Linked DNA regions of Arabidopsis thaliana. The protein of the gene in region 2 purifies or fractionates together with the protein of the main gene of each other region. This does not show direct contact. Each region holds a gene or a part of one and is shown on either strand. Other genes may lie near its edges.

Evidence for each region.
Region 1: the proteins of AT3G08530 (region 2) and AT5G67510 fractionate together in Arabidopsis thaliana (co-fractionation; one large-scale study listed by BioGRID). This does not show direct contact.
Region 3: the proteins of AT3G08530 (region 2) and AT4G15000 fractionate together in Arabidopsis thaliana (co-fractionation; one large-scale study listed by BioGRID). This does not show direct contact.
Region 4: the proteins of AT3G08530 (region 2) and AT3G22230 fractionate together in Arabidopsis thaliana (co-fractionation; one large-scale study listed by BioGRID). This does not show direct contact.

Annotation. Positions count from the first base shown.
Region 1 is NC_003076.8:26,932,853-26,940,304, reverse strand, and holds AT5G67510 (Translation protein SH3-like family protein), read left to right. Parts: upstream 1-1,806; 5' UTR 1,807-1,894; coding exon 1,895-2,335; 3' UTR 2,336-2,654; downstream 2,655-7,452. Other genes in the region: APK4 (adenosine-5'-phosphosulfate (APS) kinase 4), read right to left, coding at 65-333, 421-552, 735-963; VDAC2 (voltage dependent anion channel 2), read right to left, coding at 2,655-2,772, 3,213-3,488, 3,573-3,781, 3,873-3,959, 4,047-4,157, 4,737-4,804, 5,034-5,082; AT5G67490 (succinate dehydrogenase assembly factor), read left to right, coding at 5,611-5,937.
Region 2 is NC_003074.8:2,590,363-2,599,505, forward strand, and holds the start of AT3G08530 (Clathrin, heavy chain), read right to left. Parts: upstream 5,293-9,143; 5' UTR 5,050-5,292; coding exon 5,005-5,049; intron 4,653-5,004; coding exon 4,448-4,652; intron 4,342-4,447; coding exon 4,253-4,341; intron 4,136-4,252; coding exon 4,057-4,135; intron 3,982-4,056; coding exon 3,854-3,981; intron 3,752-3,853; coding exon 3,653-3,751; intron 3,573-3,652; coding exon 3,464-3,572; intron 3,357-3,463; coding exon 3,277-3,356; intron 3,194-3,276; coding exon 2,966-3,193; intron 2,880-2,965; coding exon 2,814-2,879; intron 2,687-2,813; coding exon 2,570-2,686; intron 2,477-2,569; coding exon 2,279-2,476; intron 2,196-2,278; coding exon 2,079-2,195; intron 1,983-2,078; coding exon 1,923-1,982; intron 1,731-1,922; coding exon 1,644-1,730; intron 1,519-1,643; coding exon 1,435-1,518; intron 1,347-1,434; coding exon 1,212-1,346; intron 1,124-1,211; coding exon 1,061-1,123; intron 981-1,060; coding exon 876-980; intron 808-875; and 7 more. Other genes in the region: KOB1 (elongation defective 1 protein / ELD1 protein), read left to right, coding at 6,151-6,537, 6,782-6,931, 7,069-7,121, 7,280-7,388, 7,478-7,612, 7,733-7,777, 7,878-8,065, 8,272-8,413 and 3 more.
Region 3 is NC_003075.7:8,567,102-8,574,637, forward strand, and holds AT4G15000 (Ribosomal L27e protein family), read left to right. Parts: upstream 1-4,714; 5' UTR 4,715-4,794; coding exon 4,795-5,202; 3' UTR 5,203-5,260; coding exon of another isoform or gene 5,261-5,286; 3' UTR 5,287-5,580; downstream 5,581-7,536. Other genes in the region: AT4G14990 (Topoisomerase II-associated protein PAT1), read right to left, coding at 1-1,190, 1,415-1,490, 1,666-1,722, 1,817-1,962, 2,359-2,410; AT4G15010 (Mitochondrial substrate carrier family protein), read right to left, coding at 6,024-6,218, 6,313-6,448, 6,544-7,060, 7,318-7,413, 7,491-7,536.
Region 4 is NC_003074.8:7,840,301-7,847,781, reverse strand, and holds AT3G22230 (Ribosomal L27e protein family), read left to right. Parts: upstream 1-3,184; 5' UTR 3,185-3,238; coding exon 3,239-3,646; 3' UTR 3,647-4,246; downstream 4,247-7,481. Other genes in the region: PCC1 (pathogen and circadian controlled 1), read left to right, coding at 1,219-1,249, 1,361-1,514, 1,642-1,702; AT3G22220 (hAT transposon superfamily), read left to right, coding at 5,424-7,230, 7,316-7,481.

The DNA.
Region 1 (7,452 bases), on a different chromosome or scaffold from region 2:
GAGAACCAAGAGAAAGTCAGATTGATGTTGAGACTGGGATTCAAATTCATGAACTTGGAGAAACCTCAATGAAATCTCCTTGTGGTAATAATGCACGGCAGGCAGCTCGTTCTATCCGGTAAGGAGATATTAAACTTGCAATACAGATAATACCAGAATCTGCAAACAGTTTAGCCACTTCACCAACTCTTCGAATGTTTTCAGCTCGATCATCTGCTTCGAAACTAAGATCGCTGTTTAAACCATGTCGAACATTGTCACCATCAAGTATATACGAAAGCTTTCCACGATTGTGCAAAGCTCGACTAAGAGCACATGCCAGACTACTTTTACCTGAAAAAATACGAGAATATTTGAAAGAATCCAGTAGAAACATAACAAGATGTAGTTAGAGATCAATTCAGAAACAAAGGACCAAACCTGAACCACTTAAGCCAGTAATCCAAATCACACATCCCTTTTGCTTAATTAATTCTTGCCTGTCGGATTTAGTAACGGGACAATCATGCCAGACAATGTTCTTTTGCTTTCCATTGATTTGCTTCGTTTCACCTGGTTAGATTATCTGAGATTAGATCTATTCAGATATACATCATTGATCTGTCTACTAAGGTCCAAACTTTATGCTAAAACTATGGAAATTTCTGGTCTCAGGAACCCAAATGTTAAAAACGAATCATAGGAACCCAAACTAGGATTAGAGATGAACCAGAACGGAATTACGTGATTATTACCGGACCGCGATGAAATGGATTCATCTTTTGCCATGATCGGACGGAAGTAGCTCATTCTCCGATGAATTTTCCCGCGAAGCTTCAAACTTTTACTACCGGCGGGATCCGAATTCGTGGAGCTAGACAATTTCAGAAACCGCCGCTCCGATAACCGGTGCGATTCAGACTCACCGAACGCCGGCGAAACGTAGCACCTTCCCACACATCTCGCCATCGCGGCAACATCCATATAAAAAAAATTCGAAAGAATCAAAGTAAAACGCACCGCGAGATTCAACGATTTAATTGAACAGGCTCAACGGTGGACTCTGAAATCAAAAACTTGTAGAGTTTGTTTTTTAACGATCTTAAATTAATATTTTAAGTCGGTAAACAAATAATAAAATAAAACATGTTGTCTATTTTGGGCTTGTGGAATCCGAGTTTTATGAGCGTGACGGCATCATTGGCTTTTGTCGGATTCACCTAATCTATTTGTTTAGTGAGATTCTCGAATCTCGATTCTTGTTTTATTAGTTTGAGATAAGCCTTATCAAATGATATTCAATAAGTGTGTATTTATTTCTAACCTAAATGGATCTTTTATGATTTGATGATTTCCTTATCTCCAACTTAGTCAGTAACCATTACTATTTTTTTTATTTTTTTTTTCATTGAAAGATATATTTTATATTCAAGATTGTAACCAAATATACAAAAAGCCTTATTCAAGATTGTAACCAAATAACCAAATATTCAAGATTGTAACCATTACTATTTCAAGCAGCCTTATTTTTTAATTATACAAAAAAAATAATCAATAACAGTCAGTCTTCTCAAGAACCCAACACATTGTTTTGGAGAGAACAAAATTAAAAAGAATACAAACTCTTTAATGCGTTTGGTTTTAGAATTGAGTACAACACTTAACTTAGAAGTTGACAACAATCTAATAAGCCCATTATATTTCTCAAGGTTAGATTGGTCCATTTTAATGGTTTGAAAGCCCATATAAAACTTATCAAAGCCCATCTGACCCAGAAACCTTCAAAACCCTAATTCTCACTGTGAGAAACGGCAGCGTTTAAGTAACTTTTAATATCTCATATATAAACTCATGCACACAACGCTCCACCTCTTCAGCACAAAAAAACCCTAATTTCTTCACAAATTCAGCGGCGATGAAGTTCAATCCGCGTGTGAGCTCTTCTCGCCGGAAGAACAGGAAGGCTCACTTCACAGCTCCTTCAAGCGTGAGGCGCGTTCTCATGAGCTCGCCGTTATCCAAGGATCTCCGTAACAAACACAACGTCAGATCCATGCCGATTCGTAAAGACGACGAAGTGCAAGTTGTTCGTGGGACGTTCAAGGGAAGAGAAGGGAAGGTGATGCAGGTGTATCGCCGCAAGTGGGTGATTCACATCGAGAGAATCACAAGGGAGAAAGTCAACGGATCCACGGTCAACGTCGGAGTCAATGCTTCGAATGTGATGATCACTAAGCTCCGTCTCGATAAGGATAGGAAGTCGCTTTTGGAGCGTAAGGCTAATGGACGCGCCGCCGCCGATAAGGAGAAGGGAACCAAGTTTTCAGCCGAAGATGTCATGGAGAACGTAGATTGATCTTAACGTATGGTTTTTTCTTCTTCTTTTCTAGTTTTCTATTTTGATTTCATTGATGATGATATGATTCAGAATTCGAAGTTGAATTTTGTGGTTTTCTTATCAATGTACCTCATTTATGCTTATATTTCTAGCTATTGAAATTGGACTGAGATTTAAATCCTTATTGATAATTCATCATTCATTTCAATCAATCGTTGTATACGTTAATTCTTCTTGGTGTCGGACATATAGACTGGTAATTGCAAGTTGTGAATTGTAAAGCTCTACATGATCTCTACACCAATCGTAGAAAAAATGGTAACATTTGAAGTTAGGCTCAACAATATTGGGAGAATCTCCTTTGCGAATGTACCTCGATGACAAGCAGCTGATCAACTAAACCAAACTGGCTCGTTGTAGAAACGGTTTTTATTTGTATCCTCCTATCATTGTTCCTAAATTATGAAACCCACTATCAGTCTCACGGCGGAAGAAGGAACCATTAACTTGTTTATCTAAGATTTGCTAATGTCTAAGAGATTTACATCATATCAACTTGTTTATATGTTTTTTTGTTTTTTTAACTGGATTGTACTAAAAGAAAAGAAAAAAATCACTGAGTGTATATTCAAGAAGAGTGCTTAATTATAAAAGAAAGATAAAAAAAAAACCAAAACCGAGCATATCCAAAAAAAGAATTATCCGTCAATTTCACTGCGGAACTATTTATTGATTCCAATTAAACGTAAGGAAAAAAGGAGGAAAAAAACGCTAACTCTCACGTCCTGCCGTAGAGGAAATCAACAATGAGAGCATACGAGAAAAGTAGGAAGACTCAAGCAGGTCTGATGTGAGTGTGTGTTCTCAAGGTTTGAGAGCAAGAGAGAGACCAAACCTTGGATGCTTTTCTAAAGCCTTAGTGTCAATCTCACTGGAAACAGTCACTAGTGATCTGGGCAGGACCTCGTGCTGCAGAAGAGCACCAAGTGTGCCATGGTTGTTGAGCTTAGCTTTCACTGCAGTCGAATGATCAATCGCATACAATCCACCAACCGTTATCGTGTTTTCATTTGTCGAGAACTTCCTGTAAACCTCACCAACTGCTGCGGTTCTCTTAAATTCATCAAAGTGATGAAGGTATGATGCTTTGAGTGAGTCTCCTTTGTCTCCCCTGGAACAAAAAAAACTCAGATGAGACCCACACAAGCCACATCTAGAGCTAGTGATTGCTTTATTTTGAAATTTGTATTCTTACAATATTATGGAGAGGCAAGCATCTGGTTTTGTCACACTGATCCCGGCATTGTACTTGGTGAAAGTTTTGGAGGTTGTGTCATATCCAGCTTCAGCACCAAATGAGATGACTGGCGAACCAAGAGTAGCTGTTATGTCAATTAGTGGGTTTTGTTTCAAAGCTGCAGCAGCGGTAACTGTTGCGTGGTCGTGGAAGTATTGCACCTCGAGCTGTTAATGAAATTCAAAAGCTGAAGGATTAATTTTCATTCAAACCACTGAGAAGTAAACATCTGTGATTTCATTAAAAAGGAATATAAACCTTGGCGGAATTATAATCAGGGACTTTGAAGGAGGCAATGGCTTTTGTTGATGGGAGGATCTCGGTAAGTGTGACTGTTGTCAAAACCTGTAAGGAAAAAATACAAACACGCTTAACAGATTAATCTGGTTTTAGATGATAAAGTGTATAATAGATCTCTACAACAACGCTTACACTAGAATCAGTGTCGATTTTAACATCAAACAAAGCATTCTTGTACTTGTATTGGGTGGCAACATCAGCAGCATGAACTCCTCCTTTCTTCAGAGCAGTAGACGTAAGGGCCTAAACAACAGAACACAGACCAAAAATAAAAAAAATTAAGGCTCTCCATTCGTATAATTAACCATGGAGTTAGACTGCTAGATCATATGCAGACAATCATTAGGTTTCTAAATACAAAAGTGCAATTAGCTAATTGAAACTGTCACAAACAATAACTTAATAATTTTACTATAAGCAGCGCACCTAAAGAAGAAATTGTAAAATGAATCATATAGTGGAGTTCTTATGGCATATTTTTGTAACCAAAGTGAAATCTATACAAACGTTGACCTCATTTTCACTCATTATCAAACATCTAGTTCTTAAACAGAAGTAAATATCATCCTGATACTCGTTCTCTCTCTCAGTTCCCTTGACAATTACCAACACAGAACTTAAGAAATCGATTTCAACATGGAGATCGATCAGACCAAGAACATATACTCTTAAAGGTCTAATCGCAGCTAAATAAAAACGGAAAACACAATGGTTGAAAACGAATATCAAAACGATACTCCACAAATTTAACCACGCATTAAAACCGAAATCGAACAAGAGTCTGAAAATAGTACAGAGTTTGCATCGATATAATAAACATACCACGCCGGAGGCACTGTAAGTGGAGATACTGAACTTCTGATCGGAATTGTAGTCTCTCGTCAACAGATCTACAAAGAAGGAAAAATCAAAACAGAAACAGCTTAAACTCGATAGGATCACCCAAAATATAATCAAAATCTAAAAATCATTTCAATCTACAGGATAAACAAATTCGAAACACCAGAACTTCGAATCAATGAACAGGCATAAACGCACGCACTAATTGCGCGATTTCAACCGGAATCTTAACGATGAGAGAAGGAATATAGAAGAAGAGCGATACGATGATAATTATACCTTTGGCTTTCTTGCCGATATCGGTGAAGAGTCCTGGACCTTTGCTCATGGTTGATCGGAGATTGAGAGAGATCGGCAGGCGGTGAAGATATCAAGATAGAAGAATTACGACTTGTTTTTCTCGTGGTAGACGAAAATAAATAGCGAAGCCAATACTATATAACAGCCTGTGACTTTTCTTTAGTGACTAACCACTCACAGCCGTTGATGTGGCACAAAAAAACACATGACGCTTTATGAGATAATCGAATCGCTTTTTGGTAATGAGGTCTAATATATAAAAAGGTTACGGGTTCGAAATCAGCCCACGTCAACTTTACCCTCTAATTCTCTCCTATTTGTTTTATAAACATGTTAGGCCTAGCTCCTGATGGGCTTGTTAAACATAATTATACTGGGCCAAATTTACTCTCTAATTCTCTTAATTTATTTATAAACATGTAAATGATTGGGCCTAGATACTACTGGGCTTATTATCCAATTATGGCCCAACCTAAATGACTATCGAACCCTATACTATCACAAACCGTGAAGGTCGGATCTCTTTCTTGATTTGGCCGACACATCTGATCTAACAATGGCGACGAACAACATCGTACGTTTGATCGCTCCAAGCCGATCCGTCTCCTCTAGATTCCTCGAGCCAGTGTCACGGTTTCTAAGCTCCGGTACACCTCCTCCGCCGCAAGCTCCATCTCCGAATCAGGATCTGAACCGGGACGTGAAGCCAGATCAGAATCTTCAACAGAATCTGCAGATGCAGAAGGAAGAAGAAGAGGAAGGAGAAGGTGGTGGAGGTGGAGAGTTTGTGAACGAAGATACTGGTGAGATTGGAGGGCCTAGAGGTCCTGAACCGACTCGGTACGGCGATTGGGAACAACGTGGTCGATGCTCTGATTTCTGAGAGGATTCATGTATCCCTGTGTTTTAGCTTGTTCTTATATATTTCTGGGAAAAATGGAAATAAATTCGTTTTATGTGTTTATGTATTTGCAAAATAATGGAGAAAATGGAAGAAAATGTAGTAGAACTTCAAATTCGTTGCCTTTATTTGGATCATCATTCTCTGGTGATCTTGTTATTCCAGTAATAGTTAATAAGTTCTTCCTCAGGTGGGTTAAATGTGCATCTATACATCTCTATCTAAAAAATTTGGGACACTTTAATACAGGTTTAGTGATGATTTAGAATTAAGGAAACAACAAGAGATGAGTTTAACTAACCTGAGAGTTCAGAGTTCAGGTTTGACATTACCCGGTGGTTACATGAGTTCTGGTCCAAGTTTAGGCATGGCTGCATGGGTCAGTGAGATGATGTCAAGGTATTTCTGTTGTTCAACAACATTGCAATGTGCACTTCTGTGATAACTACAATTGCACAACTGGGTGATGCTCAAATTACAATTAAATCCGTATATGATATAAAATTACAATTAAAAATATCAGTTTACATGATATATGTATTATGTTCCAATACTCTTTAAAAGTTAGAAAAAGATTGGCATCATCATGCATTTTTTTTTTTTTTTTTTTTTTGAAGTTCTTATAACTTTACTCCGATCAAAAACTAAAAAAAAATACAAGAAAATGATCATATAAAAAGCATTTTGACTTCTTCTTCTTCTGTTTTAGATTATTCGATAGAAGAAACGTGGCATTATAGTAAACACAGAAAAAAAGGGAAAAAAGGGTAACAATCAATTCAAGCGAAGCTAAGAAATATGAAGAGAGACCAGTAAAATATTTATGACGCAATTTTGCGGACCTCAACATAATTCACGATTAGTTAACATTTTTGAAGAGAGTATCTGATCATGTGGTTAAAATTAAGACTAATCTAAATTTATCTTTGAAGAAGAAAGGATAATAATACGGATAAAAGTTTGAAAAAACGAACAGCTAATTATGAGCTGTGTAACGCCGAACAAGAACAAAAAAAACAAAGGACACACTGATCTGTTTTTGTACGGCTCTTAAATTAAATCATTTATAAAAAAAAAACATGCAGAGTCGTGTTTCAATTGATAAAGCCGATAATAAAACCAACTTGACGAAAGCTTTTTCAAGAACGAGGAAAAAAGGCCGTTAAGGCGCGTGGATTCTCAGCCGTCCGTTTCGTAACCGTAGACTCCACGCGCCTCTCGGGTAATTTTCGCAGGTGGGTGTCTCTGTTGATGATATGAACCAAGAAAATATCTTCAAATTATTGAACACAAAAGTAAGAAAAAAGTGAGATAATAAGGAAATTAAAACAATAAATTATCCTTTCGGTGGGATTTTTTTTGTCGTCTTCTATTGTTTTTGTGAGTGTGTGTGTTTATATAATGGTAAGAGATCTCTGATCTCTCAAGCTTCTCTATAGAGAGAGTTTCTTCTCATGCTCTTTCTACCAAGGAGAAGATTTTCTCGTTAATTTTGTT
Region 2 (9,143 bases):
AACTAAATGCTCCAAGAACTGAGTGAGGAGACGGAGTCGATTTCTGAAAAAGCAGAAACATATTAGAGTTTCCAGAACTAAACAGACATAATTATGAACGCAAACCAGGATGACCAAAAGGATTCACCTCTTCTCACATTCCTCGACAAGTGGTTCAACAGGAAGCAATGAACGAACAGAGAGAATGAGGCCTTTTATAAAATCTTCAGGGCATTCATCATCAAGCAACTGCCCGACAACTAAGGGAGCATTCCCAGGGTTCACCTTTGACAGAATCAAACGTATAAATATTTCATAAAAAAAAACTGAACTCCAACGCATTAAAAGTAGTCCCAGGAAACCTTATACCTTCTGCACGTAGCCTTCAATGTAACGAAGCATGTTGTTTGTGTAGAGGTAATGAGTAAGATCAGGCACAAAGCTGAAACGATCACAGACATTTATCAAAGGTCGTGCATCAGGCAGCTTAGCTTCCATCAAAAAGTTCTTCGTCTTTTCAGCATCATAGAAGTTAGACTCTCTAGTTACACGCTCAACCTCCTTTATTTGACCAGTCTTGGCAGCTGCTTCAATGTACTTGAAATGGATCTCAGGATCCTCACTATCGCACAGAGAGAAACATTGTAAACATAAGCATATAAATACAAGAATCGTGCTTGTTTACAGAAACGAGATCAGATTTTATCTATATCACCTCATACTCAAATATGAACCTAGGAAAAAGTATAGCCCTTCATATGACTTGAACTGCTCAAAGAGCTTAATACATGCATCAACACCAAGTTGCTCACAGTACTCCTTGCAAGCCTGAAATTGTATGGACACCGTTAGTGTCAAAATAACCAATAAGATTCATCATATCATACACCACTTGCCTGAACAATTATCTGCAGATTGCCTCTCAGGTTGACCAGCAACAGATCCTTCATGCACTCCATAGCCCACTCGCTAGAAAGAGTGCCAAAAAACTCAACAAGAGCCTGCATATGGAGCAGAGTGTTATGCAACAACTTGACCACTTAGTAGGTTTAACAACCAAAATATATTTCAGAGGCACTACCTGTGGCTCGATAGCATGTGTGTTTACAATTACACGTTTTATATCAGGTAACTCTGAGTAATGCTGCACAAATCAAAAGGAAAAGAAGTTGGAAGGTGAGAAGATGATAAATCTATTTGGCCGGTAAAAATGGTAAAAAACATGTACCAACCTTCAAGGATTGGATATAAAGTCCAGCCTTTTCACAAAGTTGAGCAATGCGAGGCCGGTCATAGTGGGTGAACATCCCATTTGCTAATACCGCATCAGCCACATTAGGAAAAGTTACCAAATTTATCTCCAGAACCTGTGTTGAAAAATGATTTAAACAGTCTGGGGAAAGAAGGTGAGTAGAGAAAAAAACGGAGAGATACAAGGTGGCAACTATTTTCAACCTTAGTTTGCAGAAAAGCATGCTCAGGTAAATTTGGCTTTAGCACATCCAGAAGGAAAGAAGTCGCTTCACGGATCAGATTTCTCTGAATATGCACAAATAGACAAATAAGCACATGATAATTTACATCTACTGTATACAATTCTGTATATAGGAGTAGAACAAGTAATGAGCTACAAATATTGGTGCATACAGAATATATTGACCTACCTGAAGAAAAAGATCAGTGATGGTGTTGTAGTCAACTGGAGAACCTCCTTCCATTTGAGACATCATTAATGCAAAATTTACTGCTCCCTGCAAATAAAAATTAAAAGACTATTGATATTAATACGGTGGGAAAAAGATTCTTCATTCTATATAACATCAGGTCAAATTATTCAACAAGTTAGTTGATTCATAACTCTTCCAGTGCTTACGCCACATATATTCAGTAAAGTCCTTTCATAGTTTAGTATGTTGCAAGTATCAAGAGTGCACCACACTAACCTGAGGATCTGTACGGAGTATGGTTTGCAGAAGAAACAGGTAATCAGGTGTGTACCCAACCTGAAGTCACAATATGAAACAATGGTAATTCATGAGACAACAGAACTTTAGGGTAAAAATAATAGAAGAGGTTATACTATAGATCTTATTGCTTACCTGCTTTGAGTAAATCAGTATTTTGTCAAACTCCCTTCTTTCTGCAAAAGCTGCTACAACTTTTGGAGTCGCCCGAGCTTTGATGTATATTTTCAGAGCGAGATCATTATCCACAGTCTGGAACAGAAAGGTTTATCGTCACAACACACCATAGGAGACATATCACACATTTTGAATAAAATCGTCCATTTCAAGATTACCTTCACAAGGTCTCCAAGTTCTTCACTGCATTCTAGTTTATCCTCTGCCAACCAGTTTTCCAGGAGGTTCTTCTTGTTTTGGTTCACAACCAGCCGAGATAGTTCCAGTGACTCATATGAATTGAGTTTCCCTCTAGTCAAAAGAGTCCCAAAATACTGTAACAATGGAGGAGTTTGTCCAGCTTGTACAGGAACACTCTGCAAAATTATAGAGTTGAAAAATTGGTGTTACCAACATTTCATCATAAATAAACATGTTTACACATAGTTGCTTGGATATGAAATAGACACCTGGAATTTGGCCACTGTATCAGGTGTCCTTAGAATTCCTTGAGGAGATTCAGCAGCAAGCTCAGCAGCCTCCTTGTACTTTGTTTGAGCGAACAACTCCTGGAACCGCTGGACAACCTACAACATCCGAGCAGAATATGAGAAACTTCACAATACCAAATGACATTTTTTTTCTTCAAGCTGCCATTTAACAACTATATAATTACTTCACCGAGACAACAGATCCATGATAAACATCGCATACCAGATTTTCTGCACCTGGGAGGTTTCCTCTTTTAGCAAGATTGACAGCAAGCTCCAAATTGTTCAACTGTGATACAAAAGCATAGATTTCTTAGCATGACATGATGAAAAGGGTAGGTTATAACGGGAAAATAGCATAAAAGATTAGCATACTTGGCCACTAATAAAAGGTATAATGGTAGCCTCGTTTACTGTAGCCAAAAGAACTTGTCCTCGCCTATTAATGGCATAGAAACCCCCAACTGAGGAAGCTTCAGAAGTCAAGAAAATTGGGTCTGGACTAATCCGATTTCTGTAGATAGCAGAAGCAGTCTCTAGATCGTACACAAACAACAGGCCAAGTTTGGTGATAACATATATCAAGTTAAATTTGTGAGAGACCTGTCAGGAAAATGAGAAATTAGTGCCAGAAATTGTCACTAACTACTTACACATATAACTGAAATTCTAATGCAATAGCAAACCTGCATGGCAACAGGAAAATCATCAGCAAAATCAGGGGGAAAAAAGAGATCTGCTTGTTTTTTTGTAAATGATGGTTTTCCTGCAAAAAAATCGCCAACCTTTAAAGATCAGATGAATACAACCTAGAAAACGTAACCAATTATATTAAATAACAGTGAAGATATAGTTTTGCGTCGGGGAGCTAACCAGGTTGGGCACCAAGCTCAATGACATGCAACTTTGATGTTATCTGCCCAGCATTAAAGCTCTTGCTTGCAAATGATATAAGAATAGAAGGATTCTCATTCCCAGGAACCTAATATTAATAGTGTTGCAAGTCAAACTACAGTTCAAGATTAGACCATAGATGAACTCACCAAAGAACAAAGACGTTACCTTAAACTGCGCAAACGATGCAGCATGTGCCTCAAGGGCCTGACTCCGCTGTTGATCCACAGAGAAAAGCTGCATATTTCCTTTTACCAATTGTTGTCTCTACAGAAAACAGATAATAATGACAAGATCAGTCAAGAATCTACAACATGAAAGCAGTTTTGATGTCTTTTTTTGACCTAATATGTGGCGCAGTAAACTTACCTCAGGAGAGCCAGGAGCAATTCCAATTAAAACCAACCACTTCTCATTAGGAGAGCACTTATAGTTTATAATTTGATTGTTGGCCAAATTGGCTGTTCTATCAAACATCTTAACTGGCTCAGAATCACCTATAAAACCCGAAGGAAAATTAGAAACGAAAACACAAGATATGAAGAAAATGACAGTAGGCTGAAATATACAACCTTCAATTGACCAATGATAGACGGAATTCTGTGTGACCAGCCCCAACATCTTTGGTGTAATCCACTTCCAAAAGACAACCTGTAAAAACATGAAACATTATTATCCAAAAAAAAACCCGACTGAAAAATTCAGAGTTATACGAAGTGTATAGCAGGAACGATAATGGAGTTCAAATATATTTGCATCAACACTCACCTGCTCAGGCATCTGATGTGATTTCAACTTTGCTTTGGCTTCAATGTTAAATATCTGTAGATGATCCTGAGTAGTTCCTGGAACTTGAGCTACATAAATATTGAAGTAAAAAGTGAACATCAAGATAAGTGGATTATGAACTACGAATTCGAGGAAACCGTTATGGGTTTTAGATCAAAGGAAAAAATCAAGTACCTTTCAAGGCAAGGATCTTCGAGTTTGGGTTCATAAGAGCAGAGTCTGCAGTAATAGGCCTCCTAAGAGGCTGCATCGGCATATTCATATCTATAATTACAACACTGTTTTGCGGTGACGTCTCTCGTACACAGATATACTTGTCAGACTCCATAGTAACATTTGTAAACGTGATGAATTGCTGATTGATCCCGATGCTCGGAAGCTGGAAAAATCAAGATGAAGCGTTACGTCAAATAGTTCATTTATTTAGTTATGAGATCCGAGTACATAAGCACATTGCTACAGACAACAACTTGAAATTCGGCATTGATATATTAACGAAACACAGATCTGAGCATAGTTAGAGAAATCTGATCAGAAACATGCATTCCCAAACAAGCGATCCGGAAAAACTAGAGAGTAACACAACGATCGAGCAGAATTCAGATCAGTAGGAAACTGGAATCAATCAATCAAGAGACTGAACAGAGCTTAATCGTAGAAAATCACGGTCGATTCCAGGAGATACACATCTAAATATTCAAAGATAAGAGTGAAGAGTAAGGAGAACTCACCGTCAGGACCTCCTTCATCGTGATGGGGGCGTTGGCAGCCGCCATGTTTGACCTCAGATCACAGCAAGAGTAAATCCGGGGACGGAATCAAATATACGGCTGAGAAGTCCTGACCGCCAATGGCCAGGAGATAGAACCGAGACGAGAGAAAGACTGGAGAAGAAATGAAATCGCTGCCAGATCTGAAGCAAGTGAACGAGAAAGGTGATGGAAAGAGAAAGAAAATTGAGAAAAGAAGAATAACAAATATATATGGGTAAGTAATGACGAACAGCGATCCAATTAGAGTCTTACATTTATAACCAGGTCCGGCCCATATCGGTCCTTACTGGGCTCTAAGCATCCGAATTTCTAATGAGACGACACGTGAAATATTTTAATTGGTGCTTTTAAATGAAGGTACCTTAGGTGAAACAACAATAAATGACTTAATAATTAAGATTTGATCCAAGAAAAAAACTTAATAATTAAGAATGGAAGAAGTGTCATGACTTTTAATAATTTTTTTTAAAAAACTTAATAATTAAAGATTTGATACAAGAAAAAAAAAACTTAATAATTAAGAATGGAAGAAGTGTCATGACTTAATAATTAGAAACAAAACTTAATTAATCTGATCCAAAAGAAGAAGGAATATTATGTCATAGAGTATCACTGATGATTGCAGGTTGCAATTGTATGTTGCATCAAGTCATCCGTCTTGGTTCCATTCAGTTTTCTGTGATGAAAGAGTCATTTCCCCTGGTTGAATTGGTTTTTTTTTTGTTATATGGCTCTGTTGTTTTGTATAGGTTATTGTTGTTATTAGCTTATAGTGGCTTAGTGTGTGGAGATTTGTTTCTCCCTGTGTAATTGCTTCTGTTCTTTGTGTTGGTACATGTTTCCAATCTATCAATTCAAATCCAGTTGAGAAAGATTAAGAAAAAAAATGGAAGAAAATCTCCCAATTTTTATACATAATAAAATGAGATGAATTGATAATCAATTAGATTTAGTTAGTAAAGTTTAATTTTACCGATGAGATCTCAGACGACCAAAACACGAAAATAAAATAAAAAGAAAGATCTCAGAATCGCGTCTTTCTTCTTCTTCTTCGTCTTCTTCCTCCGAAACTTTTTTTTGTTTTTCAAAGTGGTGGAGCTAACCATGAAATCGACTCACCATCACAGAGCTCCACTAATATCTGCTTCTTCCTCATCTTCATCTTCTTCCCAAAACCATTCATTCGTCTCTAGGCTCCTCCTTCTCCTTACTCTACTTCCAGTTTCCCTTGCTTGTCTCGCCTTTATCCTCCAATGGCGAGGCGGTGGTCTCGCCGATCCTGCCTCTGCTTCTGTTCGTTCCTCTACGTCGGTTCCTGGCGGCTCCGATCTCAATCACGAGGTCTTTCCCGGCATGGAGACTGTTTCATCTGTCTCCCCAAAGTCTCACCAATCCTCCTCCGACTGCTCAAATCTAGCTCGCAGCTCTTCTCCTTCTTTTCCTTACTATGCTGATTGGAAGTTTGGTGTTGATACTAGCTTAAAGCCTAAGGTTACTACTTTCAATTCCCCTGATTTCAAGTCTTTGGATCGATCTACACTTCCAAATTCCTTTTTTTTTTCTTAAATCTTACTACAATGTCTAATCTGAAATATCAAGTTGTTCTTTTTTTATTGGATTATAGAGATTTGAGAAATACCAAAGTTCATTTTTTGATCAGATCTGTCTTTGTAAAGTCACCTCACTTTTTGTGCTCCATGTTGTATATGATTCTTGACATTGTTACTGTTTACAGATATGTATCACGACTAGCACATCAGCTGGATTGGATCAGATTCTACCATGGATGTTCTACCATAAGGTTCTAGGCGTCTCAACATTCTTCCTTTTCGTTGAAGGGAAAGCTGCTACTCCGAGTATTTCTAAAGTGCTCGAGTCTATTCCTGTGAGTTGAACTACCTCTCTTCGCGTCCACTGTTTATTTTGTTTTGGCTGTATATCTCTAGCTCTTTAGTCCTGTAGGTATAAATTTGTATTTAAGGTATGCAGTTTTCGATAAATGTAGTCCCATGTCTCTTGCAGGGTGTTAAAGTAATATACAGGACGAAAGAGCTTGAGGAGAAGCAAGCGAAGAGGTTAGTTAGTTATCCCATTGCATATTTGCGACAAAGCTATAGCTCTTCAAGGCACTAAACACATGTTTTGTTGTATATTCTGAAATTGTAGCATTGTTTTGTTGTATTTTCTACTACTGATCATTTTACTGTCATTCTTTTTTGTTTTGTTTCATCAGCCGGATTTGGAATGAGACCTGGCTTTCGTCTTTCTTTTATAAGCCCTGCAATTATGAGTTATTTGTCAAACAATCTCTCAACATGGAAATGGCTATTGTCATGGCTAGGGTAAGTATTTCTTTTAGACCTTATTTGGTTCAGTTTTGACTCATGTCTCATGTTACATTCTCATTTTTCTTGTTCTTACTAAATATCAGGATGCGGGCATGGATTGGATACTTCATCTTGACACTGATGAGCTGATATACCCAGCAGGTGCTCGTGAGTACTCACTAAGACGGTTGCTGCTTGATGTTCCTCCAAATGTGGATATGGTTATATTTCCAAATTACGTGAGTGATATCTCATTCACACTTCTTGCATTGCTTATTTTCAGCTAGTTTTGTGAGTCTAAAGTTTCTTTTATGATCTGGCCTTTGCTATGAATAATGCTTTTGGATTTTGTTGTTTAGGAAAGCAGCGTAGAAAGAGATGATATCAAGGATCCTTTTACAGAGGTATAATTCAGTTTATTACTGTCTTTACGTAAGAGAGTAGGTTTATTAATATTTGTTTGTTATGTTAGTATTACTTCTGAGATATGTGTGGTGCAAGCAGGTGTCAATGTTCAAGAAGAATTATGATCATCTTCCAAAAGATACATATTTTGGAATGTACAAAGAAGCAACACGAAATAATCCAAATTACTTTTTGACTTATGGTAACGGCAAATCAGTTGCTCGGGTTCAAGATCACCTTCGTCCAAATGGAGCACACAGATGGCATAATTACATGAAAACTCCCAAGTATGTCTATCATATATTCAAACATAACTAAATTTTCTATTGGTTGAGGAACATGATAGGACTTTGTTGTTACTCTAATATAGAACCATGTAACTATCTTAAAGGAGTTAGCAGTGGAGTGGAGTTCCGGTTAACAGCGTAGTTAATTTTTTCTGTTTGTGAAGCCAATTTTTTTTTGGAAATACTAACCTGATGATTCTTGCTAGTGAGATCAAATTGGAGGAGGCTGCTGTCCTACACTACACATATTCAAAATTTTCTGACTTAACATCCAGGCGTGATCGATGTGGCTGTAAGCCTACAAAAGAAGACGTGAAAAGATGCTTTATGTTGGACTTTGACAGATCTGTGAGCATCTTTTCTTAAAATCTCTAAAAGTCCTTAGTCATTTCTTAAAATCTCTATATTTCACTTCCTCTTACCCTTTTATGATGCTGTATGGATCAACATTGTAGGCATTTATAATTGCGTCAACAGCAACTGACGAAGAAATGCTAAGCTGGTAAGAGCCTTAGCATCGTTCTTGGTTACTTGTGAAATAGATAACTTCTGACACTCTTTGAACAAGTTTGGTCCTATTGTGATTACAAAAATATCTGGTCTTGATCAAAAAGTAATCTACCCTGTGTAGGTACCGTGAACACGTTGTGTGGGGTGACAAAGACGTGAAGACGAAACTCCTTAGGAAGGGTATTCTGACTCGCATCTATTCACCAATGGTAAGAACATACTCTGCAATTCATTATACAAAATTCCAAACACAAGTCCTGGAATGTTGAGTTCTTGCAAGTCAATTGTAAAATATTATATACATTTGTGGTAAAATGCAGGTTGTTATACAAGCATTGAAAGAATCTGGTGTCTTCAGCTCGGTTGTCTCATCAGCTTCTACAAATCTGTCAAAGAAAAAGTTCTTATCATCAATTCACAAAAGCAACTCATCCAGGTCTACTGCATCTGAGTCCCTTCCATCAAAGGAAAGCAAGTCTGAGGGCATCTCTGCAAGGCACCTTCTTGAGGCTGAATCAGCCATCCCTCCTTTATCGCCACCTGGGATGGAACAAGCTAGATTTTTTAC
Region 3 (7,536 bases), on a different chromosome or scaffold from region 2:
AGTCCTATCAATGTCAACTATATCGATAAGAACTCCGAAAGCATCTTCAATTGTGACTCTAGCTGCAACAAGAGGCTCATCTTCAAGATGCTTATGACCAGAGCTAGGAGGAGAGTCAACCTCGAGTAGAGCTCGTGGTCTGCAAATAGAAGGAAGTGTAATCTTTCCAAGAGCATCAACATGAACTTGTGGTTGCTGATCAGAACTATTCCGCGACCGAGATTGGTGATCCTTCAAATGAGAAGGATACAACTGAGGCTTTGTTCTTGATCCGGATGACTTTTTCGCAAGCCGAGCTTGGTGGTAATAATCATTGACATAAGGGTCACTACTGTGTGAATTAGAATGCTGCATCTTGAGAATACTCTCTATCTCTTCTGAAGTCATGTACTTTGATCTAAACTGCAATCCGCTTTCGCTTTTCTGGCTAGCTAAATCTGATGTCTGTTGAGAGATACCACCTCTGTTCTTTCGACTTCGATGAGACGACTTATGTTTGTGTTCCCTTACTTCACCAACCCCGAAAAGAGCTTTATGTGATGGAGAAGGATAAGAACTATATAGCTGAGATTGTAATGCAGCAAGATGAGCTAAAGATTGTCTCTGCTGAAGAGATATCAACTGTTGTGAAGTAAAACCATTCCGAGGAGGCAGTTGTTGGAGATGTTGCTGTTGCATTAGACTGTGTAACAACGCGGAATGATCACCGTGGAGAAGGCCGGGGTCGGTAACCCAATGAGGAGGTTGTTGCACCATGTTACCAAGAGTAGGACCACATGAGGCATATCTAGCCAAATTATTACCATAATGCGACGGTCCATGTGACAATCCCGAGAGATGGAAAGTAGAATTCGACAACGGAGAGGCGTTTGGAGCTGAAAAGTTCGACTGACTACCACCAGGAAGAGAAGGAGCACGATGAATATGGCTCGGGGAAGACTGTTGAGATCTTTTTCCAGGCGAAGGAAAAGATGTAAACGTCGATTCTGGTACGATAATCGGTTCGCTACTGTAATGTTGTAGCTGTGTTTGCTGCTGAGGATATGAGGATGTCCTATACAGAGAATTTGAATTAGGAGATGATTGTGGCTGTGAAGACCAACTAGCTTCCTGAACTTGTTCTTCAACTGTGTGCTGATCCAACCAGCTTGTGAACTCATTATCCTGAGTCCAATCTGTAGCAGTAGAACCTGGACATAAAAACTACTGTTAGAAAAAAAGCTGATAATGGATTTTTTTTTTGTTGACTTGTAATTATATTTCCAACTACCACAACTTAATACTCCAATCATTCACCTCCAGAAGTGGATATCTAAAAGTACAAGCTCACAGTTTTTACCTTTAGTTGCATAGTTCAAGAAGAAGAAAAAGTAACATAGAAGAACAAGAATAGTAAACAGTAAACAAAACTCACTTTCTCTTGAAAAGGACCCTGATCCTCTGTCACCAATTACTCCAAGGTGTTTGGGCCCGGTAACATTTCTGTTCAGCTGCACAAGATAAGACCAAATAATAAGATAAGTTAAAGTAGAGAACAAGTAATAATAAGAAGCTGAGAAAGACAGATCATTTGTCTCAAGAGAGACGATGAAAAATGGTAACAAAATGATATTAGTAGAAACAGAATTATTTAAAGTCATAATTCGGAATTTACAATATGCTAACCTTTGCAAAAGTTGTGGCAAGATCATCCATGTCAGATAATGATCCTAAACCAGCACCCTGAAACCAGAAGTAAATGTTTTGTTTTATCTTCCATTTATCTCATATATAATTAGCATCAAATATTGCCAAGAACAGACTCAGTCCAAATTACCTCTCTTTTATCAAACAAGTGATACTCTTCATCATCAACATGTCCACGAACAGTACCATCATCATCAAGACCACCCAATTCGACTTCTTCAAGACTTTGACCAAAGAACTCATATTGAGATGCGTCAAAGAGTGCACTATTGTTATCTGCACAAAGACAATAAGATCCAGTTTCATCAAACACATGAGGTAAGTGACAATCAGTTGACCAGAAAATTTAAGTAAAACTAAAGCTTTTGTAAACAAATCTGTGACATTTCAATCATTTCATACAACTTCAAAAATCAAATTAGTAAATCTTATAGGTTACTACAAAACTTAAAAAAAAAACGAATCAAATACTGTAACAAGGAAGATAAATCAAACATAACAAGCATGAAACAAAAAGTATGTTTCTCTTAAAGTTTTCACAAATCAGAAGCAAATCAAATCATTCACATCTCAGATCAAAGAAAGAAGCTTTAGCAAACTGATGAATCACAAAATAAAAACACTTTTATTAGATTTGAAAACAAAAAGAGCTGAACAAGAAAGAGAACTGACCAGAAGAAGTCTTAGCGAAGTTGTAGAAATCTCTAGAATCAGATCTCTCCATGATCAAACACAAAGTAGCAGAGACACGAAGACAGCTAAAACACAAAAAAAAAAAACAGCGAATACGATCGAATCTCCAAAAGGGTATTGCTACTTCTTGTCAGAACTAAAGAAAAGGTAAGTAAAGATTAGCTGAAATCGCTAGAGGTTCCCGATTTTCCGGGATTCATATTGAGAAAGAAGAAAGTCGAAGGAGGAAACTTCTCTTCCTAAAGAAGAGATTTTTGATTAGATTAGATTAGAGAAGAGAGAGAGAGAGAGAGAGAAAGAAAGAGAGAGCCTTTTTTTATTATCTCTGCCCTGTGCTATGCGTAACATTGACACATCTCGAACAAATCCTCATTTCTCTGTCTGAAATAAGCATTTCACCTTTTTTTTTTTTTTGGTTCGTTAAGTTAAAATAAAAGAGAATAAATTAAAAATGTTTTCTTTTGTCGTCAAGGAAAAATTCTCTTCTGTTGACAAAAAATCAAAAGTAAAAATATTCCACTTTCCGAACTTTTTTTTCTTTTAATTAAAATTATACAGTATGTTACTAAAATTAGTGATAGTGATTACAAAAGATAAGAATAACCTTTTTTTAGTGCTGTCTGCTTTTTTATTTTATTATTCTCTCTATTTTAATATTATTTATTACATATTGCTGTGTCTACTAATATTAGTGATCATAAACATTTTCTTATCATAGAAATATAATTTCCTGCGGCATTTGAAAAACATCGACCGATTTCGTGTAATCCACACTACATTCACGATTAAAAAAAATTATTTTTTTAACATATGAGACCACTATAAACAATTATACATGTAAACCATACATAATTTCATAATTTGCATTTCTAGGCTTCAGATTTTATATGAAAACATTAAATAAATTATTGGATAACTACGAGAATTCGTCTTATTTCTGTAATTATTTTGGATAACTACGAAAAACAATTTAATTGATATAGCCATATAGGTTATACCACATCCACTAACTACTAGTATATGATTCTAATTAGTAAGACGATCCTTCTAAATATATGATTCCACCTATTTTCTCCTTTTAAGTTTATGCTTTTACTTGTTTGAAACTCCTCAACCAAACCAAATAAGTTAGTTATGAAAACTTAATTGCATAGAGATTAACAAAATTAAATACACATCGACGAAATAAAATAAAATAACTGGAGGGACAAGTTATATGGTCCATGTGAACGGATTTCATCCGGTCGGTTCAATTTGATCTCATTTGCTAATTTATTATACACAAATTCAAATGGTCTATTTTTTATAAAATATGACACCTATATACTTACTTGCGTAGACACGATATAACCGGCCAAGCAAAGTTTTCTAAAATATATAATAATCTGCAAATATGATGTTAACAGTCCATAATTATAGACTATAGTCTCGCAGTGGCTAGAAAAGTCAAGCATGCAATTTTTAATTATAAATATTTGACACATTTTAGTAGAATTATAAACAAATATATTGATTGCTGCGAGAAGAAGTTTCCAACTTTGTTCGTATGATGAAAGGTAAATTTTGTGATCGAAAACGAAAGTAGACATGTTTGAAAGTCTTAAAATATTGGTAGAAAGGTTTTCGAAATTTTCGTGACAATTAAATTGATAATTTTGAGTATGGAACTTGATCGAAAAATTAGAAGATTTTGAGAAAAAGACAGCATGTTTTTATGCGATACAATGTATAGTTTCACAAACAATTCCAATAATAATATGATAAATGTATAATTTTGTAGATAGTATAAGTGTAATTTTGTAAAAGTTAGTCACTATACATAGTGGTAGTGCTATGAGCAAGCCAAAAAACATATATGAGTAACTAAAATTAGCAGTCAAATATAGAGTTGGATAGCTTCAACACCAATCATAAAAGTTTTATCAAAACCGTTACTAAAAGTTTTACTTTTTTTTTTTTTTACAGCTCTCTCGTATAATTCTTTTGTAAATTTTGCACTATTTCAAAAATACTTACAACTCCAGCTAACAACTTAATTCTTTTTACAGTTTTGTATTATCAATGGGATCCATAACAGTTGTATAATTTTATATATGTCTTTGTTAGTTCAAAAAAAAAAGTTTTTGTAATAATAACTCTTTTGAAGTTTGTACGAACGTAAGAAAAAAAAAAAAGGAAAACTAGAATTAGTATGACCCAATAACTGAAGCTAGGTTTACCAGGCCGTGTGATAAGAATATAAAGCCCAAATTAAAAATGGGTCTAACCTAAAGGCCCAATAACTGAAACTAGGTTCTCTCCGCATCCATTTTCTGCATTACTATTAAAGCCGCATTTCTCATAGAATCCGCCACTTAGGGTTCATAGCAGCCAGAGAGAGAGACAAGTGAGAGGGATCTACCAAACGAAGCAACAATGGTGAAGTTCTTGAAGCAGAACAAGGCCGTGATCCTTCTTCAAGGACGTTACGCCGGAAAGAAAGCCGTCATCATCAAATCCTTCGACGACGGTAACCGTGATCGTCCTTACGGACACTGCCTCGTCGCCGGACTCAAGAAGTACCCGAGCAAAGTCATCCGCAAAGACTCAGCTAAGAAGACAGCTAAGAAATCTAGGGTTAAGTGTTTCATCAAGCTTGTTAATTACCAGCATCTGATGCCTACTCGTTACACACTCGACGTGGATCTCAAGGAAGTGGCGACTCTTGATGCTCTTCAGAGTAAGGATAAGAAGGTTGCTGCTCTTAAGGAAGCTAAGGCTAAGCTTGAGGAGAGGTTCAAAACCGGTAAGAACAGATGGTTCTTTACCAAGCTCAGGTTCTGAAGAAATTTTCTATTTCGTGAGGAATTCATTTTGAGCGTTTTGTTATCGTGTTTTTTAGTTTCTAGGGTTCATTTCCCATGGTGAAAAATGTGGATCCTGTTTTGGATTGTGGAAGATGTTTTGTTGAAGTTTGGATTATGGATTTGATCTTTTATTTTGATTCTCTAATGCATTCTTATTTACTCTTTTGTTTCCGTTGAATTATATTTGCTTAGGCTTGAGGAAATGATGAATTTAGTAACGTCTTTAGGCTGATATTGGTTAAAATCTGGAGGTCCATTGCAAAGAATTCTTGTTCATAGCCTTAGTTAGAAAATTATAGATGTTCAAGTTTCGTAATCTTCGAAATTGAATTTGGTGTTACTAATTGTCTTAATCACGGTTTTGAATTAGCAAAATATCAATAGCTAATTGTTTTTTGAGCAAGGTTCTGATACAATGGCTATATCTCCTTTGTTTATAAGCTTCTCTGGCATTAAGTTTTGATAGAATCGGGAAATGTATTTACCAAAAGTTGAATCTTGTATCGTTTTTGTTAGATTCTGAATATCCCATTGCAAGTAGCTTATTCCTAAACTCGTCGTAAAATACAGCAAATTTTCGAGTTTCATTTGTCTAGGAAATTGATAATTTGTAATCATCAAACTTACAGATACAGCCAATGATGTTAATTATTTATTTCAGAGTATTGAGAAAAACTCACATATGATTTCTCTGTTAACTGTATAACAAAACGCAGGCTACTAAAAAACAATCACTATTGCGGTATCGTTAATCTGATCTAAAGACAGATTTGTAGGCTTATGTGATTGTTTGTTTTCTCACTTGGGAACCAATAAATCGACAGCTAAGTAATAGCTTCCTACGATCACAGTCGATGCAACAGAGCTTCGAGCCATCCTCATCCCAATACCTCGGAACAAGAGATTTCTGTCTGTAGGATGGATTCCTGTCCATCTCTCTAATCTCTTCCCTGGTTTATTCCATTTTAGAAACTTCCTCTCCTTTGCTGTATACTGTAAGTAAAACAATAGAAACCCAACAGAGAAAATGAGTTTCATATCTCTTTGTAAGATAAAGTGGAAAGCCATGAGTAGAGTTTCTTTAAACCTTTGGCAATATTACACACTGTGCACGTGTTCTTGCTGTGTCAAAGCTATGTGATGCTGCAGCTGCAACGGCACCAGATATCCCAGCAGCAAGGCTAATGGCTACCGGAGATAAAGGTCCAACTTCTTCTTCAGAACTGAATTCATCAAGTTTCCGCATAATCATTTTAACAATCAACAATCCAAGTTCAAGTGAATTGAGAATTCAGTGTCGATTGAGAGTTTTAAGTACCTGGGCAGAGGATTCATCCCAACAGCTTTCCAACCGACCATTGCCTCGTGAAGAAACTGCCATGTTGAAAAGAATACTCCACCGTAAATACAATCTCTTATAAGACCTGAACGTAGATTCCTCCATAAAGCTCTATATCCTTCAAGTGATGCAACATCGAGCGGTCTCTTAACATCCATGGCTGATGGTGGGTTTCCTGTTCCAGTCATCATCCAAGGGTACTCTTGCAAAGCAGCTGTCATGTTTGGGTGTTTGTGATTTAAGACGGATAAGAGACTGACTGTTTGTGTCAATGACTTTACATCAAGAGTGTATCTTCTTAGCAGTTTTGTGATCATGGGTGAGACCGGTGCGGTCTCTGCAACAGCGGAAGCATTTGGAGCCCGTGATGCAGCAGTCACTTGTTTTCGGACTTTGATTAGCTCAAATGGAGAAGTCATCACTGTTTCTGCTGCACCTCCCACCAGACCAGCCAGAAAAGCTTCACCAACACTCACGTAGTTATCATGTCGACCATCTGGAGCGAAATGAATTCATATTCAGATTCTTCAAGACAAAGGTATTGCCCAAAAAGGAACCAAATTTGCGTATAAATGACATGAATGTATGTGAACACTGTTGCATATTCTAACATAATCCATGAACAAATGATTGCTGTATTGACTAATTAACTGATGTTATTGAGCTAATTGACAGAGGAGCTAGACACAAAGAAACCTAATCTTGAATCATCGAAATCAGACACAACAAAGGAGACATGGACCTGTGTAATACCTTTGTAGAAAGCTGTTAGAATCTCATAGACACCAAACCTTGCACCAAAACCAGAAATTCTTCCTAAAGTTAACGATCCAAGACCACTGTACAGACCTGCATTTGAAGAACATGTCATTATGCCTGATGCAGAATCAGAAAATGATTGGAATCTAAAAGAGTAGTTTGCGAACCTGAATAGCCAGAGAATCGAAGAACTCTATTAAAAACTTGAAAGGA
Region 4 (7,481 bases), 5.3 Mb from region 2:
AATCTTTTTGGCCACAGTGCAAAAACGTTCACAGAATGCATCAGGACCGGACACAAGTCCGCCGATCGGTTATCCAACCAGAGATAAGGCGGTGGGTGATCCTCCGGCAGCAGCAGAGAAGACAAATTCCAAGGGCTGCTGCGAAGTCGTAATGTTAATATTACAGTACATATCTAATTTAACTTACTTTCTTTATAGATAGTTTGGCTCTAATTATTAGCAAGATGTTCATCCGACGTGCAACTCTCTTTTAATGATCTGTCTGCCTACACTATTGGCAGTTGTATCCAGGGTTGCGGCGAATGTGTCATGTGCTGCGCGTCAGGATTTTCAGGATGATGAGACTCAAGACTTTGCCCAAACCAGAAAAACAACATATACGTAATAGAGGATTCATCAGTATGTTATTTGCTTCACTGGTTGAAAGAGATCCATGATTCCCATTTGCTTCGTCTATTTTGTTTCTATATAAATCAAAGTAAAAAACAAAAATAGCTAGTCATAATTCGTAGCAACAAAATATGACGTAATGATTTTTTATTCCTAAGTTTAATACAATATATAATAATATAAACAACACCTAAGTTTATAAAGTTGTTTTCCTTTGCAGTTTAACAGATCACACCAACATAAGGAACAAAGCCAAAACTATTAATCATGGTTCAAAGGCAGTTGGTTAATCACTTTTTCATTTTCATGAAATGTTAAATTAATTAATCATCAAAAGAGGTTATTTAATTTACATAGAGTTTAGAGCAATACCCAAAAAAAAAAAAAAGAGGTTCTAAAAGACAGTTCCAGGAACAAAATAATTCAAATTTGTTAAATTCCTCATGTTTTACGACGTCATGTACGTGTACGTCATGTACGTGACGAAAGCCATTTCTGCAACAAACCATTTCTCACTTTCATCTCAACCATAGGTATCGCTTTCCTCTGCCCTTGTGCATTTCAAACAATATCATTTGCTTTATCTCTGCAATTATATATGTGTTGGATATAACCAAAAAACCTAGACCTACCACTTCGCTAAGGTAGGTCTGTCCGTGAGTTGTCTGTGATTAGATGTTTTTATTGTTCAATATTGACTCTTCTTTCTTTTATATAATGAATAATGTAAAAAATTTCCTAATATTTGTCTACCTTATAAATTAGAAGCACAACACTCTCTCCTCTTCACAAATCTCACATCCTCACTCCTCAGCTCCTCAAATCAGAATGAATCAATCCGCGCAAAATTACTTTTCCGGTAATTATCTTCAATTGTTTTCTAAAATCATGATCAATGTCTAACGTATAATCATGATGAACAATAATTCTTTACTCACCAACTAGATAACTTTTTTTTTTTTTGGCACAGTGCAAAAACCTTCAGAGACTTCATCAGGGCCGTACACAAGTCCGCCACCAATTGGTTATCCGACTAGAGATGCGGTGGTGGGTGATCCTCCGGCAGCAGCAGTGGAGACAAACTCCAAGGGCGTCAACCCCGAAGCCATAATGAGTTGTTTTAGGTACGTGTATATATATATATATATATATGTTTATAACTTGGCTCTAATTATCCAAGATGTTATTTTTTTATATATCCGGCGTTCTACTTTTTTTTTTTACTGATATGTCTGTTGACACTATTGGCAGTACTTGTATGGAGTGTATCTTCTGCTGCGGCGTATGCTCCAGCCTCTGTACATCAGAGTAAATCAGCATGATGAGACAGAAGTCGTTGCCCAAACCTGAAAAACAACACGTGATAGAAAATCTATATATATATATATATATATATATGTTATAGTAGTCGTTTCTATGGATTTCCACGCATTTTAAAGTTTATTTGTTTCACTGTTTAAAATGAATCATTTGCTTCGTGTATTTTGTTTCTATATAAATAAAAGAAATTAAAAACCAAATAGCTAGTCATAACTCTTTACTACTCAAAGGAAACTGTGTTTTAGTGTTCTTAATTACATCTTGTTTCTGACCAACAGTGAATGATCCTTGCATGGGACTCATTAACTTCAAAATTAACGATTTCATACAAATTATTGTTGTAAGAAATAGATAAAAAAAATGTTTGACGATAGTGAGGAATTAAGGATGGTTGTGTTTCGCTTTAAAGTTTTAAGTGAACCAAACGGATGTGCGCACAGTTCGATTTACAGTTTTAAGTGGTTGTGACTTTATCCAAATATAATTATTACGTGAAAAATGTTTTTTTTTTCAATCACCAATCAATAGAAAACACATGAAAATATTATCCAGCGGGATAATAATAGACGAGCTAGATTTGGTATTTTTATGAATGCGATCTTTTATGCATTAATCAACCAGAATTTGCAAAATATCTGAGTCTGATGCTAATTGGATTAGAAAATATCTGAATCCCGGCAAAACAATTGACCTTCCTATACACGTGAACAATGCGGACTATCCAGTCCTTTGCGAGAAAGCCATAGCCAGTGACGGATCTAGACCCAAATTCTATATGGGGCACTTTATTTATAAAATACTAGTTAAAATTTAATTAGCTAAATTATATTATGATTTTAAAAAACATTATACCTAAATTACAGTTTTGGGAATCGAAATTGGGTTTATATGAAACACACTTTACTGTAAAACCATCAATGCTATCTAAATTTTCTTGTACATACATAGCTAATACACTATTTATAAGATTTAAAATGGGGCACATGCCCACCCAGCTTCAACATGGGTCCGCCCCTGGCCATAGCACAATTGTACAAGGAAAGACTTTGGGTGAGAATCATTAATCCTTGTCTTGAGAAACCCAACTACAAATATCGAATCAATCTCCAGCTCCACTCTTATGATTTGCTTCTCCCAAGCGATATAAAGCCCATAGTAGACTCTCCGTAATTCTGGTAGAGGTGCAGAACAACGTCCAATGTTAACCGTAAAACCGTCACAGCAATTACGTTCTCCATCCCGCAGAGCTCCCCCAGCTTACGAATCTCGACTTTAGTTTTGTAAAACAAAACATATAAAACGATGTCCAAACAAAACATATAAAATGGTGTTCAAAAAAATATTTTCGAATTTGGTGGTTTCAGGGCCTAAAACGATATAAGAAACTTACATGGGCCTTTTAGGATCATCTCATTTTAATGGGCCGAATTCGATATTGAAATAAAACAAATTAGGGTTTTACTCAGCACACTATATAAAGACAATCATCTCTTCAATTAGGGTTTCTTCTTTGCGGTGGTGAGAAACAATGGTGAAGTTTCTGAAGCAGAACAAAGCGGTGATCCTCCTTCAAGGCCGTTACGCCGGCAAAAAGGCAGTGATCATCAAATCCTTCGATGACGGAACCAGTGACCGTCGTTACGGACACTGCCTCGTCGCCGGACTGAAGAAGTACCCGAGCAAAGTCATCCGCAAAGACTCAGCGAAGAAGACGGCGAAGAAATCAAGAGTGAAATGTTTCATCAAGCTCGTGAATTACCAGCATCTGATGCCTACACGTTACACGCTCGATGTAGATCTGAAGGAAGTAGCGACTCTTGATGCTCTTAAGAGTAAGGATAAGAAGGTGACTGCTTTAAAGGAAGCTAAGGCTAAGCTTGAGGAACGTTTCAAGACTGGGAAGAACAGGTGGTTCTTTACTAAGCTCAGGTTCTGAAGAAGAACCTTTGAGATTTTTATCTATCTATCTACTTTTTGTTTAGTTCTAGAATGAATTTGGATCATTGTTTAAGACCTTTTGGTTTGGAATTGATTCTGGATTTTGTCTCTTACTTATAATCTTTTGCTATATTGATGCCTCATTTTATATATTGTCACTGGTTTAATAGCTGAATTGATTACATTGTGGAAATGTTGTTTAAGGTTATTGAAGATGGTCACTTCTGGTTTCCAATTTCGAGATGTTGGAGTAGTATTGAAATGGGTTTCTCTGTCAAATCATTTTCCCTGTAGCCATTGTAGTCAGTCCTAGAGCCATTGTAGTCTCTTTTCTTTACTTGTAGGAGCATATAGAGAGTCTTAGATGCATGTTTGAGTTGTCACTGTTGATTACTTGATTTCGTGTTGATGTTATGGTGTTATAAATAGAGTGTTTTAACTTTTAACGAGATAGGTGTCGAATCTTTCTTTAACCTTGCTGTTTAGATTGAAAAGTTAGGAGATTGTTACGATTGTGTGAGTGGCCATGTATTGTATAGCCTTTGTGTTAGTTGATTTTTTCCTTGTTCAGTCATAGAGACCTGTTGCAATATACGAGATTGAAAACTATTATGTGAAATTTTTGATTTGTGTACAAATACTTGTGACTCTTAAAATGAAACTAACATTGTACAAAATATCACAATGAAAGAATCACAGAACAAGGTCTCTCAACATTTTGATAATCTATTATACATGCACATTGTGGTTTCTGTTTAGCAAACATAAACGAATTTCAGAGATATAGAACGCAACAATGCAAGCCCTTGCTTCAACCGTATTCTTTAAACTCCGTTCATGTTCTAAGCTTTTTTTGACAAAACACATCCTCACACTAATACCGAAGCAAATCTAGTAAAACATAACAATCATTGTAATGTGAGTCAGCACTTGTGATTGGTCTTGAAGTATAACAAATGTTCTTGAAGTATTAACACATTTTGCTTTTTAATTTATCATTCAACTTTACCTTAATTAATTTATGATAAGACTTTGAAAAACAATAATTATCTCTAGATTCTACAATCTCATCCAATATTTTTGACCCAAAATCATTTCTATCTTTGAAAAGACAAATTAAAAGATACCCCACATGAAGTCACTTATCATCATATCAGACCTTATACTTTATACAAATAATCACTTTAGTCCTTAAATTAAAAACCGATTTAACCACAAAAACAAGTTTAAGCCAAAACAAGACAAAAAAAATAAAAAATAAACAAAATTTGTCGTTTTTATAAACCAGAAAAGCTGCCCAACTTCTTCTCCTCTCGAACCCTAACGAGCCGGGTCATCTCAAAAATTTCTCCGACATTGCATTCCTCCGTCGCCTTCAGATTCTTCTCCAGCGTTCCTTAATCTCTTCTTCTCCGGTCGATTCCACCTTCTTCATCCCCAAAACCGAAGTCCTTATACCGTAATTTTATCAAGTTTTTTACCGAACCGATTTCTTGCCGTAACCAACCCGGTCACAAACCTGCAAACCAAAAAAGGTTCGTTCTCTGTTCTTTCGATAATTCAAAAACTCTGAAATTTACGATTTTGCTGCACTGGGTTTTAGAATTTCGCTTTTCTTTGACGGGTTTGATTCAATATGATCCGATTTTTATCTAATCAACGAAAAGTTAACATCTTTGTTACGAAAGTTGTGAGCTTTTTTATGAAAGCTGATGAATTCTTCTTCTAAGTTTGATCTCGTAAATGTTTAATTGAAGGATCTAGGGTTTTGTAGGATGGATTCAGATTTGGAACCTGTAGCTCTAACACCACAGAAACAAGACAGTGCGTGGAAACACTGTGAAGTTTACAAATATGGAGATCGAGTTCAGATGAGATGTCTTTACTGTCGAAAGATGTTTAAAGGAGGTGGTATTACAAGGGTTAAGGAACATCTTGCTGGCAAGAAAGGACAAGGCACTATCTGTGATCAAGTTCCTGATGAGGTTCGTCTTTTCTTGCAGCAGTGTATTGATGGTACGGTGAGACGTCAGAGGAAGAGACGTAAATCAAGTCCTGAACCATTGCCTATAGCTTATTTCCCTCCTTGTGAAGTTGAGACTCAGGTTGCTGCTTCTTCTGATGTGAATAACGGGTTTAAATCGCCGAGTTCGGATGTCGTAGTGGGTCAAAGTACTGGGAGGACGAAGCAGAGGACTTATAGGAGTAGAAAGAATAATGCTTTTGAGAGGAATGATTTGGCTAATGTTGAGGTTGATCGAGATATGGACAATTTGATTCCTGTGGCTATTAGTAGCGTGAAGAACATTGTGCATCCTACTTCGAAAGAGCGGGAGAAAACAGTTCATATGGCTATGGGACGGTTTCTGTTTGATATTGGAGCTGATTTCGATGCGGCGAATTCTGTCAATGTTCAACCGTTTATCGATGCGATTGTTTCTGGAGGATTTGGTGTTTCTATTCCTACACATGAAGACCTCAGAGGTTGGATTTTGAAGAGTTGTGTAGAGGAAGTGAAGAAAGAGATTGATGAGTGCAAAACTCTATGGAAGAGAACAGGATGTTCTGTTTTAGTTCAGGAACTGAACTCCAACGAAGGACCTTTGATCCTTAAGTTTTTGGTTTACTGTCCTGAGAAAGTAGTGTTTCTGAAATCAGTTGATGCATCAGAGATATTAGATTCTGAGGATAAGTTGTATGAGTTACTTAAGGAGGTAGTTGAAGAGATAGGTGATACTAATGTTGTTCAAGTTATTACCAAATGTGAAGATCATTACGCAGCTGCTGGGAAAAAGTTGATGGATGTGTATCCTTCTCTATACTGGGTTCCTTGTGCTGCACATTGCATAGACAAGATGCTTGAAGAGTTTGGGAAGATGGATTGGATAAGAGAGATTATCGAACAAGCTCGAACTGTTACAAGAATTATTTACAATCACAGTGGTGTTTTGAATCTGATGAGGAAATTCACTTTTGGCAATGATATTGTGCAACCAGTCTGTACCAGTTCCGCTACAAATTTTACAACAATGGGAAGAATTGCTGATCTAAAACCTTATTTGCAAGCAATGGTTACATCATCCGAGTGGAATGATTGTTCGTATTCGAAGGAAGCAGGTGGATTAGCAATGACTGAGACTATCAATGATGAGGACTTCTGGAAGGCATTAACATTGGCGAACCATATAACTGCTCCGATTTTGCGTGTTTTGAGGATAGTTTGTTCTGAAAGGAAGCCTGCAATGGGGTATGTCTATGCAGCAATGTATCGAGCAAAAGAAGCAATTAAGACAAATCTGGCTCACAGGGAGGAGTACATAGTGTACTGGAAAATTATAGATAGGTGGTGGTTGCAGCAACCTTTGTATGCTGCTGGTTTCTATTTGAACCCAAAGTTCTTCTATAGCATCGACGAAGAAATGCGTAGTGAGATCCATTTAGCGGTTGTTGATTGCATAGAGAAATTAGTCCCTGATGTCAACATTCAAGATATTGTCATTAAGGACATAAACTCATACAAGAATGCTGTTGGGATTTTCGGAAGGAACTTAGCTATCAGAGCTCGTGACACAATGCTTCCAGGTACGCCATTTATTAATTGAATCTCAAAAAGATTTCATATGTTCAAGTGTTTTGTAAGTAGTTAAAACATGTTTGATTCCTGTAGCTGAATGGTGGTCTACATATGGAGAAAGCTGCTTGAACCTGTCACGTTTTGCGATACGTATTCTGAGTCAGACATGCAGCTCATCTATTGGCTCAGTGAGAAACCTGACATCAATCTCGCAAATATATGAATCAAAGAACTCTATTGAGCGACAACGGCTCAACGA